Astyanax mexicanus: one gene and its partner. The protein of the gene in region 1 interacts with the protein of each later gene in a biochemical or structural test. Links are inferred from orthologs where the notes say so. Each region holds a gene or a part of one and is shown on either strand. Other genes may lie near its edges.

Evidence for each region. The genes of interacting proteins can lie anywhere in the genome.
Region 2: of the proteins of amfra (region 1) and herpud1, one has a biochemical effect on the other in vitro, tested with the Homo sapiens proteins (6 studies listed by BioGRID and IntAct, with this or other methods). The link is inferred for Astyanax mexicanus from reciprocal best matches to the Homo sapiens genes AMFR and HERPUD1.

What each region holds. Positions count from the first base shown.
Region 1 is NC_064409.1:59,157,513-59,165,286, forward strand, and holds the start of amfra (autocrine motility factor receptor a), read right to left. Parts: upstream 3,009-7,774; 5' UTR 1,959-3,008; coding exon 1,704-1,958; intron 1,567-1,703; coding exon 1,474-1,566; intron 1,161-1,473; coding exon 996-1,160; intron 841-995; coding exon 688-840; intron 590-687; coding exon 549-589; intron 415-548; coding exon 282-414; intron 1-281. Other genes in the region: nfatc3b (nuclear factor of activated T-cells, cytoplasmic 3), read right to left, coding at 5,235-5,305. UniProt on the Homo sapiens protein: E3 ubiquitin-protein ligase that mediates the polyubiquitination of lysine and cysteine residues on target proteins, such as CD3D, CYP3A4, CFTR, INSIG1, SOAT2/ACAT2 and APOB for proteasomal degradation.
Region 2 is NC_064416.1:22,559,267-22,566,939, forward strand, and holds the start of herpud1 (homocysteine-responsive endoplasmic reticulum-resident ubiquitin-like domain member 1 protein), read left to right. Parts: upstream 1-4,665; 5' UTR 4,666-4,972; coding exon 4,973-5,128; intron 5,129-7,083; coding exon 7,084-7,161; intron 7,162-7,673. Other genes in the region: slc12a3 (solute carrier family 12 member 3), read left to right, coding at 146-208, 449-550, 763-874, 1,108-1,194, 1,306-1,441, 2,139-2,206, 2,401-2,542. UniProt on the Homo sapiens protein: Component of the endoplasmic reticulum quality control (ERQC) system also called ER-associated degradation (ERAD) involved in ubiquitin-dependent degradation of misfolded endoplasmic reticulum proteins.

The DNA.
Region 1 (7,774 bases):
GCTAAAGTTGTAGCAATCTGTCAAGAGCAGTCTGGTTCAGATCCAGTTCTAATGAGCAAGCAATTACTCATATTTGAAAGAATAAATTAAAGATAAAATACAACCATGCTCTAAAGAAGATTTTTTTTTATCCTAATAATACTCTTGATCTAAATGATCTGTGGCTGCACTGTAGTCCTAGTCCAAAAGGTAGACTCATCGGACTGCAAGAATGATTCAATTAAATGCTTAGCATTACATAAAATAAGCTGCTTTCAAATCAATAACCACATGCCACTCACCAACATGTGAATATGATGCATCAGGTCAAGACAGAGAAGAGCAAGCTCCATAATGAAATCAGTGTAGTAGACATAAGAGCCTTTGCTCTCCCAAGTCCCCTCATGATTCAGGTCCCACAGGTGAATAGAGTACCTAAAAAAACAGTACAAGCAAAACCTCAGTGATATATTTTTCGAAGCACTTAACAGCTCAGGTTTCTTTGCCTGCAAGTGACAGCATAAACGGCGGTACACTCGTAATTGATACTGGACTGACAAAATGCTTACCTTATAATAACATGTCCAGTGCGCACCGTAACAAGTAAACACTGCAAAATAGAAAAGGATTCTGTTTTTCCATTCATAAAACAACTATCAATTTCCTCTCTAGTGTTACAGAGAAGCTCGGAAACTGAAAAATCCCTACCTCAGCTGTCATAAATGCAACAGTATGCATGCCATGAAGATGTCCGACCAGGCCACAGAGCGCAGCTAGGCCTCCACAGCACAACAGCATGGACACTAGCAAGGCCAGTACTCGCACATGACTGCTCATGGGGGTGGTTGGGGAGAATGACAGCTAGGGGGGGGGGGGAAACAGAATGAATGAATATCTGAGTGTGATTTCCTTTTAAATTCACAATTCCACATGAAACAGTAGATAAAAGAGCTATATACTTAGTTAAATTCAAAAACAACCAAGAATTCTTTCTAAGTGCTTATAGGAGTACTCACATATTCAAACCGATCTTTACAGAGCTGAACCATGAGATGAAGGAAGATAAGTACAGCAAACCACAAACACCACAGCACTACCTCGTCCACTGTTTGCACATTCAGCACTCCAAAGATGAAGATAAATTTATAGAAGATAAAGTTCCAGAACTTGTCCTTCAAGTGCTGTTGGGATAGAGGTAGCACAGAGACATAGGGGTTTCATAAGAAAACAAAAAAATCCCCAAACTCTGTTGTTAGAACACAGAGGTGTAGCTAAGAGGAAGCTTCATAAAGCAAAAGGTTAAACATTCTGGCAAATAACAACTACAAAAACTGCAATGTTCAGTAGTCTTATTGTGAAAATATTCATTAATATTAATATGCTTTTTTTTTATTTTTGGCTGAATAACTTCAGTCTGAGAATATTTTGTGCATCATTGAATAAAATGCTTCTTCAATAATCAGGGCCAAGCCCTATGCAAGCTTTTGCGCTCACCTGTTTCTCACTGACCCGCAGAGGACCAAAAACAATGCACTGGATCACCTTGGCGATTAGCATGAGGACACAGCATGCTGTATTCACCATCACCTGAAGAGATAGGACAGTGCAGTTTGCTTTGGGGGGTGATTACTCGTTGATCTTCATAAACACAGGGACAAAATAAGCTAAATAATCTATAAGGACGCTGTTTGCTGTCACAGTGGACCATTAGTAAGAGCACTTACCCAGACGAATAAGTTGTCGGCGATGAGATACAGCAACACGTTAGAGGCAACATGTTCAATGGCCTCTCCTTGATCAGCTTTACTGTCCTCGATGGGCTCGGTCCGGGCGTCCTCTGCTACCGGAGCTGCGGGCTCTGGGATCTGGGTTACAGCGGTGTAGGCACTGAGGATCGAACCAGCGAGCAGGACTGTGCTAAGCGCAGTGTAGGTCTGCAGGCTGGGCCAGGGGAACCTCTCCAGAAACAACAGGGGCATGGCGAGACTGTCCAGTGTGCACGTCTTCAGATAAAGAGAGGGATCTACAGAGAGGCTTTCTGTGTTTACACTGAAATGTTTACACTGATGATGAAATGGGGTGGGAGCAGTACTGTGAGCTCCCGTCTTCTATAACGTTAGATATAGTTTAGCTAAATAGTTAATTAGTTAACCAAGTTATTTAGCAGGCCTAGTTGGCTATTTAACAAGCTTTATTTAGGATTCAGGTCACGGCACGAACCCTGTGAAGCTGGATAGCTACCAGGTTAAATAGATATATAAGTTAGACAGGTAAGGTAAGTTAACGTTAGATAGGTTACCTAGACACTAGGTAACCTTAGCTAGCTAAATAATTAGCTAGCAAGTTGAAAATTCGTTTCTGTGCTGTCACAAGTCCTTAGAACTTAGAATTGGGAAAGCTAACCTAGCTAGCTTAGCCTGACAGCTAGCTATCAAAATCTAGGTTAGCTTACGTGTTGTCTGTTAGCTAAGCTAAGCTAGTTGGTTTAGCATTACGTGTAAACAACACAAGACACCAGTGAAAACGACTAACGTTAGCTAGACTAGACTATTTAACGCTAGGTTACATGCATTTTTCTGCTTTTCTCGGTTTTAAATTCCATTACTACAGATCTCAGGGCGGGCAAATGTTTTAACAATAGCTACAGTTTCACTGGCAGTGCCTGTGGTCTCCAGCAAGACAGGTTAGTTAGCTAGAGAAGCTAACAGGCTAAAGCCAGCAGGGCTATAGCTCACCGCTCCAGCTGAAGCCTCGCCTCTCAGTAATGTCAGTAATATTCTTAAGCGGATTAATACGAACTCAGGCAGTCAGGGGGAAATGCCGTCAGTGACTATTTCAGGCCGAGTTCGCCCACAAATGTCCGAACAGAACTTGTAGTGCAGGCTGTGTTACAACTACAGGACTCCCGGGGTCCGCTGTGTTCGTCTCTGTGTGTGTCTGCTCCAGTCTTCCAGTTGTTTCTCGGAGTTTCTCTCTCTCTCAGCTTTTCCGGCGCTGCTGACGCAACCCGAGCCTCTTCCGCTGTTTACACAAGAGAACATGGCGCGTATCACTCCGCCACTGTACTATTGCTGCGGAAGGCGCTGATGGGGGATTGTTGTAGTTCTAGTTATACAGCATTTAATTGCTGGGAAGTGTGTAAAAAAAATCATTAGTTAAACTATCGACTTCAGAGTGCTAAAAAAAGTCTACCAATCCATTACTGAACTCTCCCCAGTATAGCTGTAGAAAGGTAACCTACAAGCCCCTATGGTGAAGTAAAAAAAATAATAATAATGCGTTGCCACGACCTATTAAGGCATGGGAACGAGATATAAGTCCTGGCCATATACACCACTTAAAAATTATGGGTTTCTTTGACTTTACCAAATTGAAAACCTCTGGAATATAATCAAGAGGAAGATGGGTGATCACAAGCCATCAAACCAAGCTAAACTGCTTGGATTTTTGCACCAGGAGTGCCATAAAGTTATCCAAAAGCAGTGTGTAAGATTGGTGGAGGAGAACATGCCAAGATGCCAAGATGCCACCAAATATTGATTTCTGAACTCTTAAAAACTTTATGAATATGAATTTGTTTTCTTTGCATTATTTGAGGTCTGAAAGCTCTGCATATTTTTTGTTATTTCTGCCATTTCTCATTTTCTGCAAATAAAATCTCTAAATAACAGTATTTTTATTTGGAATTTGGGAGAAATGTCTGTAGTTTATAGAATAAAACAGCTATTCTACTAGTTCATAAGCAACTAATACAAGATGCTTAGAAAACTATTGCAGGTGAATACCTCATGAAGACACTGAGACAATACCAAGAGTGTGCAAATCTGTCCTCAACGCTAAATGTGGCTAAAGTATAAAACATATTTTAGTTTAAAATATGTTTGTGTGGTCGGGGGCTGCAGTAGCCCCATCCACAACGTTTAAAAACCACTTCTTTAGATTTCCCTCTATACTTGCCTTGTCATTGTTTTTATTAGTTATTTTTGATTTAATCTCTCCACAAACTTTTTTTTGCAAACTGTTTTTAAATATTTTTAGCAAACAATAACTGTTGTGTGGCAAACCAGTGAGTTAAACCTTACACTGTAGACTCTGTATCTCTGTTCATGAAGACTTCTGTTACTATTAGACATGTTTGGAAGACATTGTATGCTAATGAATGCAGTTTTGGATGCACTCTGCATAGTGACACTTTAGTGTATTGGTTTAGTTTACTGGCACATACATAAAAGAAGAAGACTTTGAGACTTTTAGAGTAAGATATAGTCTATGACAAAAATATAGTCTATGACTAGTCTTATTAACAACCCAAAGTGTTTTCCATATTAATGTGTTAATGAGTTTTTGGCAGCAATAAACAAACAAATAAATAAACAAACAAATCTGGACAGCAGACTTCGAAAACACAAGAGGTCAAATATAAAAAAATACCTAAAGTTTTTAAAGTCTTAAGGCTACTGTAGTTTAAGGCCTTCTATAAGTGTCTTTGTCATAAACATGGCTTTTATCTTGAAATAGAGATAAAAGAAATAGGAGAAAGTGTTTGTTTAATATAGTTGAAAAACAATATTTAATTCCAAAGCTTTCTACACAGGCAAAATTTCAGTGCATAGGAAAAGGTCACATACCTTAATGTTCCATACAATTTCATAAATAGAATATGGAATCTGAAAAAGTTTCAGATAAAAAGTGTCTGTCACGTAACAAGTCGTCTAACAGAAAATGTTACAAATCAGTGTGTTCTCAGCAAATCACAAATCAATCATGCCAAATTACACAATTACAAACTACAGTTCCAGTGGCAGCTTCAACTATCACACCTAGGTTACACTGTAATAGTGTAAAATGTCCTATACAGCCACCCCAAAATATTTAGATTCATAAAAACAATATTGCATAGAGTCATAAACACCCTTCACAGTCAACATTTTGTGAAGAGTTGATTTTAAACTGAATGTCACATTCAAGGCACCTCAGCAAAAGGCACATCTAGTCTCAGGTCTCAGCTTGAACATTCACATTTCATAAGTCCAGTTCAAAGAACAATTCAAAAGATAGTACCTAGCAATCCTAGTAAAGCTCGAACCCATACTATGCAGCAACTGCTTATAAACACATTTGATTATTGCAAATACAAAATGTATGATAAGTTTTCTTTATGAAGCCCTTTTAAAAGTATAAGGCAGATAAAATACATTACAGTATGTACAGTACAACTTGATCATGTCAGAGGATCTGACTCAGTAACAGTGCTGCTATGGCAAGCTATAAGAATCCCCTGCAGGATCTGGACTCTGGAACAAGTCTCTGACAATGATCTCGCTCACTGAAAAGAGAAGAAAGAAAAAACACAAGTTAAAAACAAACATACCATTAACTTTTTTATAATGGTAACAAACAATAGTTAATAAAATATTAAGTATTAGGTATGTAAATAGGGCACAAAGCCTTTAGCACATTTTGCATTCTCATAAAAAATGATTCCCTTTTACATAGTACTTTTATTTCAAATAATTGTTTTCTTGCCTGTACAATATTCTGTTATGTATTTTTTTTAAATGTCTTTTAAACACATTTTAATGTTTTTTTTTGTCTGAATCTGAATTTTAACCAGATTTTCTTTTTTTATCTGAAACCCACAAATAATGAATTAATGTAGATGTAGATGTAGTAGATGACAAATGACAATGCACCAAATATTTGACAACTGAACTTATCTATGTTAAAATGGTAATACTAATAATAAAAAAACACTTTATATTCTGTATTCAGACTTGTTGTTTGGTTTTGGTCAAAAATGTTCCATTTCAGTATATCCCTAATATTAGGCCAGTATTGTTAAGTCACCTTTTTTTACATTTAAATTCCCAAAGCTCCTAATAGCAGTTTTCTGAGCACAGATTAAAGTCTAAGACTGCATGGAATGTCCAGTAAAGTATTTTTAGTCTCAGTTAAAATCTTAGGACTGGGCTTATCCCGTGTAGAGGAAATGATTTTAGAACCATTTGAGGGCAGTGTTGTTCCTATATTTGGGCTCAGCTGGGTATCTGTATATCCTCCTGTTGTTCAGTGCAAGCACAACGCTGTGTGCATCACCAAACAACCACAGCTGGTATAGAGAGTGTGAAAACGCAATCATGCTAAAATTTTTTTTTTTTTTTTTGTGCTTAACAACACACCTTTTACTGCAACACAGTCATATTTGTACAATCTTCTTGATTCAATAGATCAAATGTCAAACACCTAAAATTAGTCAGATATGGTTCTCAAAACAGAACTCAAAGGGGGCTATTTTTAGCATCAAACAAAACACCTACACATCATGGGAAATACAGCATGTATATTATCTACTGTCTGACCAATATCTGATCTGATTTTCCTTTTAAAGCTTTTAGATGTTTGTCTGTATTTCGTCCTGCTAAACTTCTCTAGAAATACCAAACATAATATATAATTCAAATATAATACATACGTGTCAATTCATTATAAATACACTTGAGCAACAGCAAATGTATATTTTCAGTAGGGTCTGTTGCAGAGAATGGAAACGGCAACACATTTGCAGGGTTACACTCTTGGCAATGAAAGGCCCTATGATGAGAAACAACAGTACTCAGTCATCAGGGGGGCATAGCAGTCCACTGCACCTGTCCTCTCCAACACACAAAAGTGGAGCTGAGACATGGTGGCAGAAGGCCAGGTTGGATGGGTGCCTACTCTCTTTTGAAAACACAGAAGCAGGCTAGGGAGTACGAGAAAACATTTAACAGAATTATATTTGAGCTTGTAGGATTCCCAGTCCAAATTTAGCCATTTAAATGCAAGGTTACACTTCAGATAGAAAGATGAGGAAATATATTTTCCTGTCCGCCTTAGAGGTAGGTCAGAACATCTTTCACTTTAAATGTGCTGTTCCCTTAAAATACACAAGCTAAGAAAGTAACAGTATAAACAAATAAAGCTCAAACCCCTGAAGGCCACAGATTTGTCAGGCTACACAGTAGGGTGCCAATATCCTCTGCTATGTAAGGATCTCATTTAATGCTAAGCACAAGAATGTTTTGTATGAACCACGCATGTCTATCACTACAGTGGCTTAACAGCTGTGCGCTAGTAACTACAGAAGATTAAGCTCCGCAGTATATTTAGCTCCCTCACTGACTCTGATGCAATGCTACGTACAGGCCTGTATCCTCTTTCCCACTATGCTGCAGGACTGAGGACTATAATTAGACTCAAACCAAACAGGTTTCCACAAACTGTGGGGTAGTACCTCCTGGTCTTCTATTGAGAGTAAAACAAAAGTCAAACGGGCCCCTGGCTTATGTTTGACGTAAATTTATATGAACAAAGTTTATTAATTGTTGTCCTAATTAACTGTCTCAGTCTCAATTACCTCCAATTACCGAAGATAAATGCATTTGCATATGCTCCAAAAATGATCTGCAATAAAATCATTTCACATTTACTAACTTTAATGTTTCATCTCCTGTGAACCAGTAATTTAGAAATGCAAGATTGTTTGTCCTTCAGTGACAGTATATCCACCAACCAACCAACCGATCACTTTATTTAAACCAATTACAGCCCTACAATTACAGACTACAGTCCTTCTGTTCCTGTGCATTTATTACTTTATTATCCTCCTATTACCCTGCATTTCAACTGGTCAGGACCAAAACAGAGCAGCTTAAACACTGTGTCTACTCACTGTCCACTCAATTAGGCACTCCTACATAGCTACCCTGTAGATGTAAAATCAGAAGCTCATCCATTGCTGCACAGTGAGTAAACT
Region 2 (7,673 bases), on another chromosome or scaffold:
TATATATATATATATATATATATATATATATATATATATATATATATATATATATATATATATATATATATATGTATATAATTCTAAATTTGCAACTGTTTCACAGAACCTGTGTTCCAACCACGCATTTTTTTCTTTTATGCAGTTAACCCAGGGTTTGATCCAGCTACAGAACCAGGACTAGATGCCAGAAACATCAGCACATCAAGTATGCATAGATCAGGTTAAAAGTAAAGCTAAGTGATAGTAGATGATGGTAGATGTTATGTTGAAATATTTTACCCAAGTAGAAGACTGTATTGTGAAAGAATGTCTAGTCATGCATAGGAGATAAAAATAAGAAAAAGAGAAAAATAAGGCCTGCAAGTGAAATGTTTTTTTCTATGACTGTTGTGTGAAGATATATGTACATATTTGTGCAGATTGTACATAACTGTCTCTGTTTCAGTGGATCCTGAATCGCTTATAGCCATGACTCAACCCAGCACCGTCTTTCAGACTAAGCAAGAAAAGAAGACTATTGATGTGTATTGGCTGTTTGATGATGGAGGTGAAGCTATTTTCATTTGTTTGTATTTAATGCTTAACTAATTAGACCCAGTATGAAACAGATGTCTAGGTAGTAATAATGCATTGACCAGAAACAATCATCAGATTGCAAAAAGAAGCAAGGGCTTTCATGGGTGGCATATAGTCTAAAAGGTTCAAGAACCACTGCTGTCTAAAACTGATGCAACTTTGGCTAATGCTGTGTTTTGTCAGGCCTGACGCTACTGCTGCCGTACCTTCTGAAGCGTAAGAAGCGCTGGGGCAGGTGTAAAGTGAGAGTGTTTGTGGGAGGAGAGATTCAACATGCTGAGGAACAGAAACAAGAGTAAGTCAAGCAAAAATGAAACACTTATCTGGATGAGTATATTCATTTATCACTGTGAAGAGAAATAAAATAACATAGCAATACGTAAAGTTGTATTATTTATTATTCATCAACGCTGTAAAACATAAATGCAAATATTAATCAGATTGTCTCAGTGTTTAGGTTTGTCCACTTTAAATTTTTGGTTTCCTCAGACCTTCTGATCCTCTCTCTTTATCTCTTCATCTCTATAGGCTAACAGCTCTCATCAGCAAGTTTCGCCTTGGATTCCATGAGATTCAAATCCTCCCTGACATCAACGAGAAACCTCAGCCTGAACAGTATTAGTCCTTTTCTCACTTACATTTTTGTGCCACACTGTGCTTTTTTTACATAATATGCATTTACATGGTGTAACAGCTAATTGTGACAATTTCTCCCGACTTTGACAGTGTTAAGAAGTTTGAAGACCTGTTAGGGCCATACAGGGCACATGCTATGCAAAAGAATGGAGAAAGAGGTGCCCAGACCTTCAGTGAGTGTCCGTGGACAGTGTCTGATGAAGATTTTGAAAAGAATTTGGCAAAGGTAACCATTTAAAAAAGTTTTAAGATTTAGATATATAAAAAGGTAAATTGGTCTATATTCATATAATGACAATATGGGCTCTTAGTACATAAAGGTGATAGTAATGCAGTTTGTCAATAAATTAGACGATAGATATTAGATTTTTGGTCATGTGACACAGTGGGTTACACATGCAGTATGTAGATCGAGCATGAACACACGAGACGGCTTGGGATTGTCCACGTCTTTATTAGTGTTGTGAACTGAACACAAGCTTGCTCATGGCAAGGCAATCTGAATTATCTGAGTTTGAGTGTAGGTGCCAGATGGATGGGACATGGGTCATGTGTATGGAACATAGGTCACAGCAAAATGTTATAGGTGCCATTACCTCCCACAATGAACAGCACAGTGTGTGGTAATGATCATAACCTGCGGCATCTGGCTAGATTTGTCCATCTGAACGAACAAATGACTTTGGCATAAATCTGCTTTCATTTCAGGAGACCATATACACATATCACACAAGTCAATGTAGCATTCTTTAGCTTCCTTGAAATATGATGAAAATTATTATTATATTAGTGTATGATACAAATCTAAGTTGCTTAGTCAGCCAAGACAACAAAAACAACCATCCAAATACTGCAAATATAATAATAATGACATTTTGTTGCATTTCTGTAATGCTTCTATGCATTTCTGTGTGTTTTTCCAGTCTTTCAGACAGATCCGCCTTAACGAAGTCCTAAAGGACTACTCGAGAGATGCTGCATTGATTATTGTGTAAGTTTATATCAGAATTTTACAGCTTTACTGTCCCAGTGCTTCTACAGTTTTTAATGATTGCTGAATTTGTTGGTATGTGAAAAGTAGCCTCTACAGACACTTGCGCCCAAAAGACTTAATAAGGCAAGGATCCATTTTTTGTTATTAATGTCTTCATTACCTGAAGGAGATCCTTGCTTTTTGCTTGGCAGGACCATGCCCATAGGCCGGAGAGGAGCCTGCCCGAGTGCACTCTACATGGCTTGGCTGGAGACCGTGTGCCGTGACCTGCGACCTCCAGTCCTGCTGGTCAGGGGGAACCAGGAGAATGTCCTCACTTTCTACTGCCAGTGATCAACCTGCCAAAATCTTATTAGCTGCAGCTGTGAAGTGCAGGACAGGAGACTGGTGGTCCCTCTAGAACTATGGTTCATAATCTGGGGATTCTGACGTAGTCCCTTGGAGGAGAGGGATGCTGATTTTAAACCCTAAAAAGGGGTTGCACAGTACAAAAAGGGTATGAATCCCCGTTCTAGAAAATGTAAAATAAGATGGTACTCACTCTAGCACTTGAATTTGTCTTTTTTAACTAATGAACTGTTGCTAAAATGTTTGAGTCATTATAGGACTGATCCAAGTGATGTAATATTTTATTTGATTCCTATAATTCTGTGCAAAATATTTCTAGAATATGTTATATTATCTGAGAAGTTGAAGGTTTTGTTGTGTTTAGTAATATAATTTTATAACTCAGTTTTTTGACAATAGGGGTGGTCTTTACTGTAAATGTTTAGGTGGTGGACCCACTTTCAATCCAGCATTTACATTAGCATGTGTAAAACTGCCAGCATTTACTTACATTTTCTACGTACACCGGTTCCTCACACACTAGGATGTCAGTTTTATATCAGATGAATTACTTGCGCAACAGCAGCATTTTAACCATAAACTGACCAGTAATGGAATTTGGATAAGAAAATGTACAGCAACAAATAATGTCCAGCCCATAAACAGTGAACATAGTAAAGTAAAATCAGTAATGTATTCATCAAATGCATTTTGTTATATTAAAGTGTATTAAAAATTTAAGCAATTAGCCTTCTGATTATTTCTGCTTTCTGTACTTCTACCTTGTTACCTCCTCTTCTTACATTGTTTTAGTAATTCAAATTATTTTTTTCAAATATTTGGATCATTGTTCAAAAGATCCAAATCACCTTTTAAAACATTTAAGGCATTTGTTAAGTATTTAAATCAGATTCTAAAAGACTTGTAGAGATGCTGGTCTTTTAAACAGAAATTTGAATCACCAACATTAAAGATTTAAATTTTGTAAAAAAAAAAAAAAGATTTGAAACACTTTTTTCTTTAAACTATTTTTTTTAAAAACTGATTTGAACTATTTTAAAATAGGATTTGAGTCTATCAAACCATGTTCAACTATTTGATCAAAAGATTTGAATAGTTTTGGAAACTGATTTGATATTTGCTAAATAATGTAATTATTTATCAAAAGACTCAAATCACTTTTAGAAAGGGCCATATTACTATATATCTAAGGGAGAAACTCTGTGCTGTATCATCATATTTTTTAATGGAAGTAAATGTAAAAATATTTAATTACATTGTCATTTTTTTCATATTAAGTCATTTTAGAGCATTTCTAATGGTCTATTCATTGTTCATCAATTCACTATTTCCTTTATATGTATATGTATAATATCCATTATTCTTGGATCCAACATGCTCATAGCAAAGGCAGCACTAGAGCCAACAAAGCAAGTAAGAGCTATTTGTTTCTAATTTCACGTGATTCTGAACACTTAAATTATGTTACAATTACTGTTTATGGATGATTTGTAAAGTAAAAAGATCAATATCAAATCTAATATAAAAATGTTAAACACAGGCATCCAATGAAATGGACATTAAAAAAAGCTATTAAAATATTAATAGGATTTTAATTGGATTTTATTTTTATTTTACTTTAGACTATTAGAGACTCCTTTTGTGTAAATTGCAGGAAGAATATTTTTCACTGGCATATAATTCAGGCTTAACACATTAATACACTAATTGAGGAAGGCTTATCAATAAATCAAAAAATAGATCAGCATTATAAAACAAGTCATAATAACAGAAGAACTTTCTATTTTTTGTATTGATGCTACTAAGATTGTAGAAGTGAATTAAAAAGACCGGAAATTAATTAAATAAATATGTAGGAAAGCTCAGTTTTGGGTCTGAAATTTTTGCTTGTGAATAAAATATTTTGCGAGTAGAATATAACATTTTACAATATATTCTAAAGGTTTATTCGATGAATCATTAAGATAAAGGTGATATTTCATCATACTGGTCAGAGTAGCTAACCGAAGTGACGCGGCTCGGGGGAGTTTATTATCTAAGCAGGATCTCGCAGCGAGTCTGCGCACTGCGCTGCCTGTCTCACAGGCTCCACGTCGAAGCGCGAGCGGCTCTTAGCCAATCAGGCGCGGCCACACTGTGTTTTGGAAACAACACGCCCGAGTATTTCACCTCCATCAACTTCCACCGTGAGAGCCGAAACCGCGGGGGACAGCTTTATTACTCTGTACTGGAGAGCGAGGGAGCTGGATACACACGGAGCTGCTCTTTAAACCCAGGCTGGGGGGGTTATTAGGCTTATTTTGCGAACATTGTGGAGACGGTACCGTAGCGTTATTGACGAGGTTAGCCAAGCTAGCTAAATAGCTTAGCTGTTGACAGAAGAAGAAAGAGAGAAAGAACGAGAACACAGAGAGAATGGAGGACCTGAATGTTCAGGAGAAAGGAGAGATATCTCTTGTGGTTAAAACACCCAATCAGATACATGGCGACCAGCTGGTGGAGGGTGTAAATATTAACTGGACGGTGAAGGATCTGAAAACTCATCTGACAAGAGTTTATCCATCCAAACCGGTAAGTCCTGGGTGTGTTATGGTCTCACTAGCTAACGAGAAGCTGACCGGTGTTCTGTCGAGTTATGCTACGCGTCGATATGTGCTTCCGAACGGTACTGCGCATGCGCCGACATAATTTTTTTTAAATGTTTTCATGAAAATACTGTTGTTTTTCTTGGGGCCATTATACATGAGATTTTGATGATATTGTTAATGATATTTACTCGAGTGTTACAAAAAGTGTATACGGCAGTTAAAAAAAATAATTGTAAACAAATATAACGTAAAATGAAAAGTTACACAAACTGTTTTTAATTACCTAATATGACCTTAACTTTACCTGATACAGTGATTTGGTCTATTTTAGTTCCTTAGCTACCTAACGCTACACGTCTGCCAGGAGCATTTTTCTAATATAGGGCTTTTTATGGTGCTTTGTTGTTGTTGTTGCATTTTTACCTGTAAATATACACTAGAGTAGGAAGCACGATTTGACAGGGTAAAGTACAACTTGTCAGAACACCGGCTAAAGTTGACATTGTTAGCTGTGTAAGCTATAGCTGTTTTACATAATACAATATGTAAAATACTGCTTGGGTGCAGTAAAAGGTAATAAGAACTTGATATGTCATTGTATGCCTGACTGTTACAAAAGTGTATATTGCATTAAAAATATACAAATACATAAATTGTTTCTAATCAACTAATATTACTTTAACTTTACCTTATACAGTGATTTGGCCTATTCTAATACCCTACCTAACGCTACACGTCTTACCTTTAAAGTTACACTATGGTAGGAAGCACGGTTTGACAGGGTAGCACAACCTGACAGAACACCGGCCAATGTCATTGTTAGCTAACAAACCTAGCTAAACTGACAAGTTTGATAAAGCTGATAACGTTAGGTAGCTAACGCTAGTTATTTGTTAACATTAGCTACTGGGGCGGTTTATCGTTTGGTGTAGCATAAAGTCGGTGTAAACTAGCTGGTTAGCTAATAGCGAATGTAGCTTCAGATAGAGCTCTGTTTTTGTACACCACATTCCTTCGCTCTCCGCACACACTGTTCCTGTCAGTCAGCTGACCGTCAACCAATTAGCCACCACAGCTAGCGTTAGATAGGCTGCTTCATGCTGTATTGTTAACTTCTCTGCATTTTAGCATTATTTAATGCTAGCTAATATGTCTCCTGTGGGTATTTCCCAAAACAGGTTTTCTCAGTTTGGCTACAGTTTCAAAATTTCCAACAGTGTCACTCATATTGTACATTCCTAATGTCTAATCTAAAGTTAATTTTCTAGGTTACATGGTCAACTTGGAAAATTTGATGTTTTATTTAATATCATATCATTATTTATTATTATTTACAAAATTCTTAAGCATTCTCTATTTAATGTTTTATTGGTTTTAAAGAAATTGCAATAAACAGGGAAATAGTACAATAATCTCAACAAACAAGCAAAAAACATTTGTTGGTAACACACCAAAGAAAATGAGCAACAGTGTTATAAGCACTAAAATATTCTATAAAATAAATAAAGCAATAAAAACAGAAGTATAAGAAATATTACACAAAAAAATAGATGGATGTTCCACAACATAGAATTGATCAGTTTTGCCAGTTAACTCAAGCCCAAAGCAGAGCCTGTCAATTAGGAGAATTTATTAGTCAGTCCTAAAAGCTGGGCTGATGTTATCTGGCTAAACCTAAACAACACTAAACACTTTTCTACATTGTAAAGTGCCACCAGGTCTTTATACAGAGAAACAAGACTATAACCTAGCACATCCAGTGACTCTGTCACCACTCACAATATCTGTGTTATACAGCTTATGTTGCATACATAATGTTACATGTTTTTTGATTCCTTTTAATTACCTAAAGTTTAACATCATCTGTAAAACAACTCTTTTATATATTTGGGGATTTTTAAACATTAGTATTGACATTTCTAACTTTCTTCCTGCCAGCCTGAGAAAGACCAGAGGCTTATCTACTCCGGAAAGCTGCTTCCAGACCACCTGCATATCAAAGATATTTTCAGACAGGTGAGTTTTTGGCATCTGTAAGTTTTCAGTTAGGTTACGCACCTGAATGTTATTAAAGCTATGTTTCTTCAAGACAGTTACACGTTTTTAATTATTTGTGTGATTTTGTGACGTTACTTTAAAACTTGCAAACAACAAAGGCCATACATGTATCAGACTAAACAAAGGCCTTTAAGCATGCATGACTAGACCTCTTACCTTTGATGTTTGGGAGAACTGTTCAGTGACACTTAGATGAACTTAGTGAACTGTCCTACAGGACCTGTAACATCAGCATGAACTGCCCCAAAGAAGCTACTTTGAGACAGTTTGGCATGTCCTGACAACAAACCTATCCTCCAAATATGTTCAGAGGGCCAGGCTGTTTTTACTGTTGTTCCAGCTGCCACATAGAAGCACTAAACACCCCTTGTGGCCCCTCAGTCACAAAACACATGCACACAAATGTTTACGCTCTGTTTTGGAAATGCTCTCCTTTTAGAAAGAAACTTTTCTTTGTCTGTAATGGCATT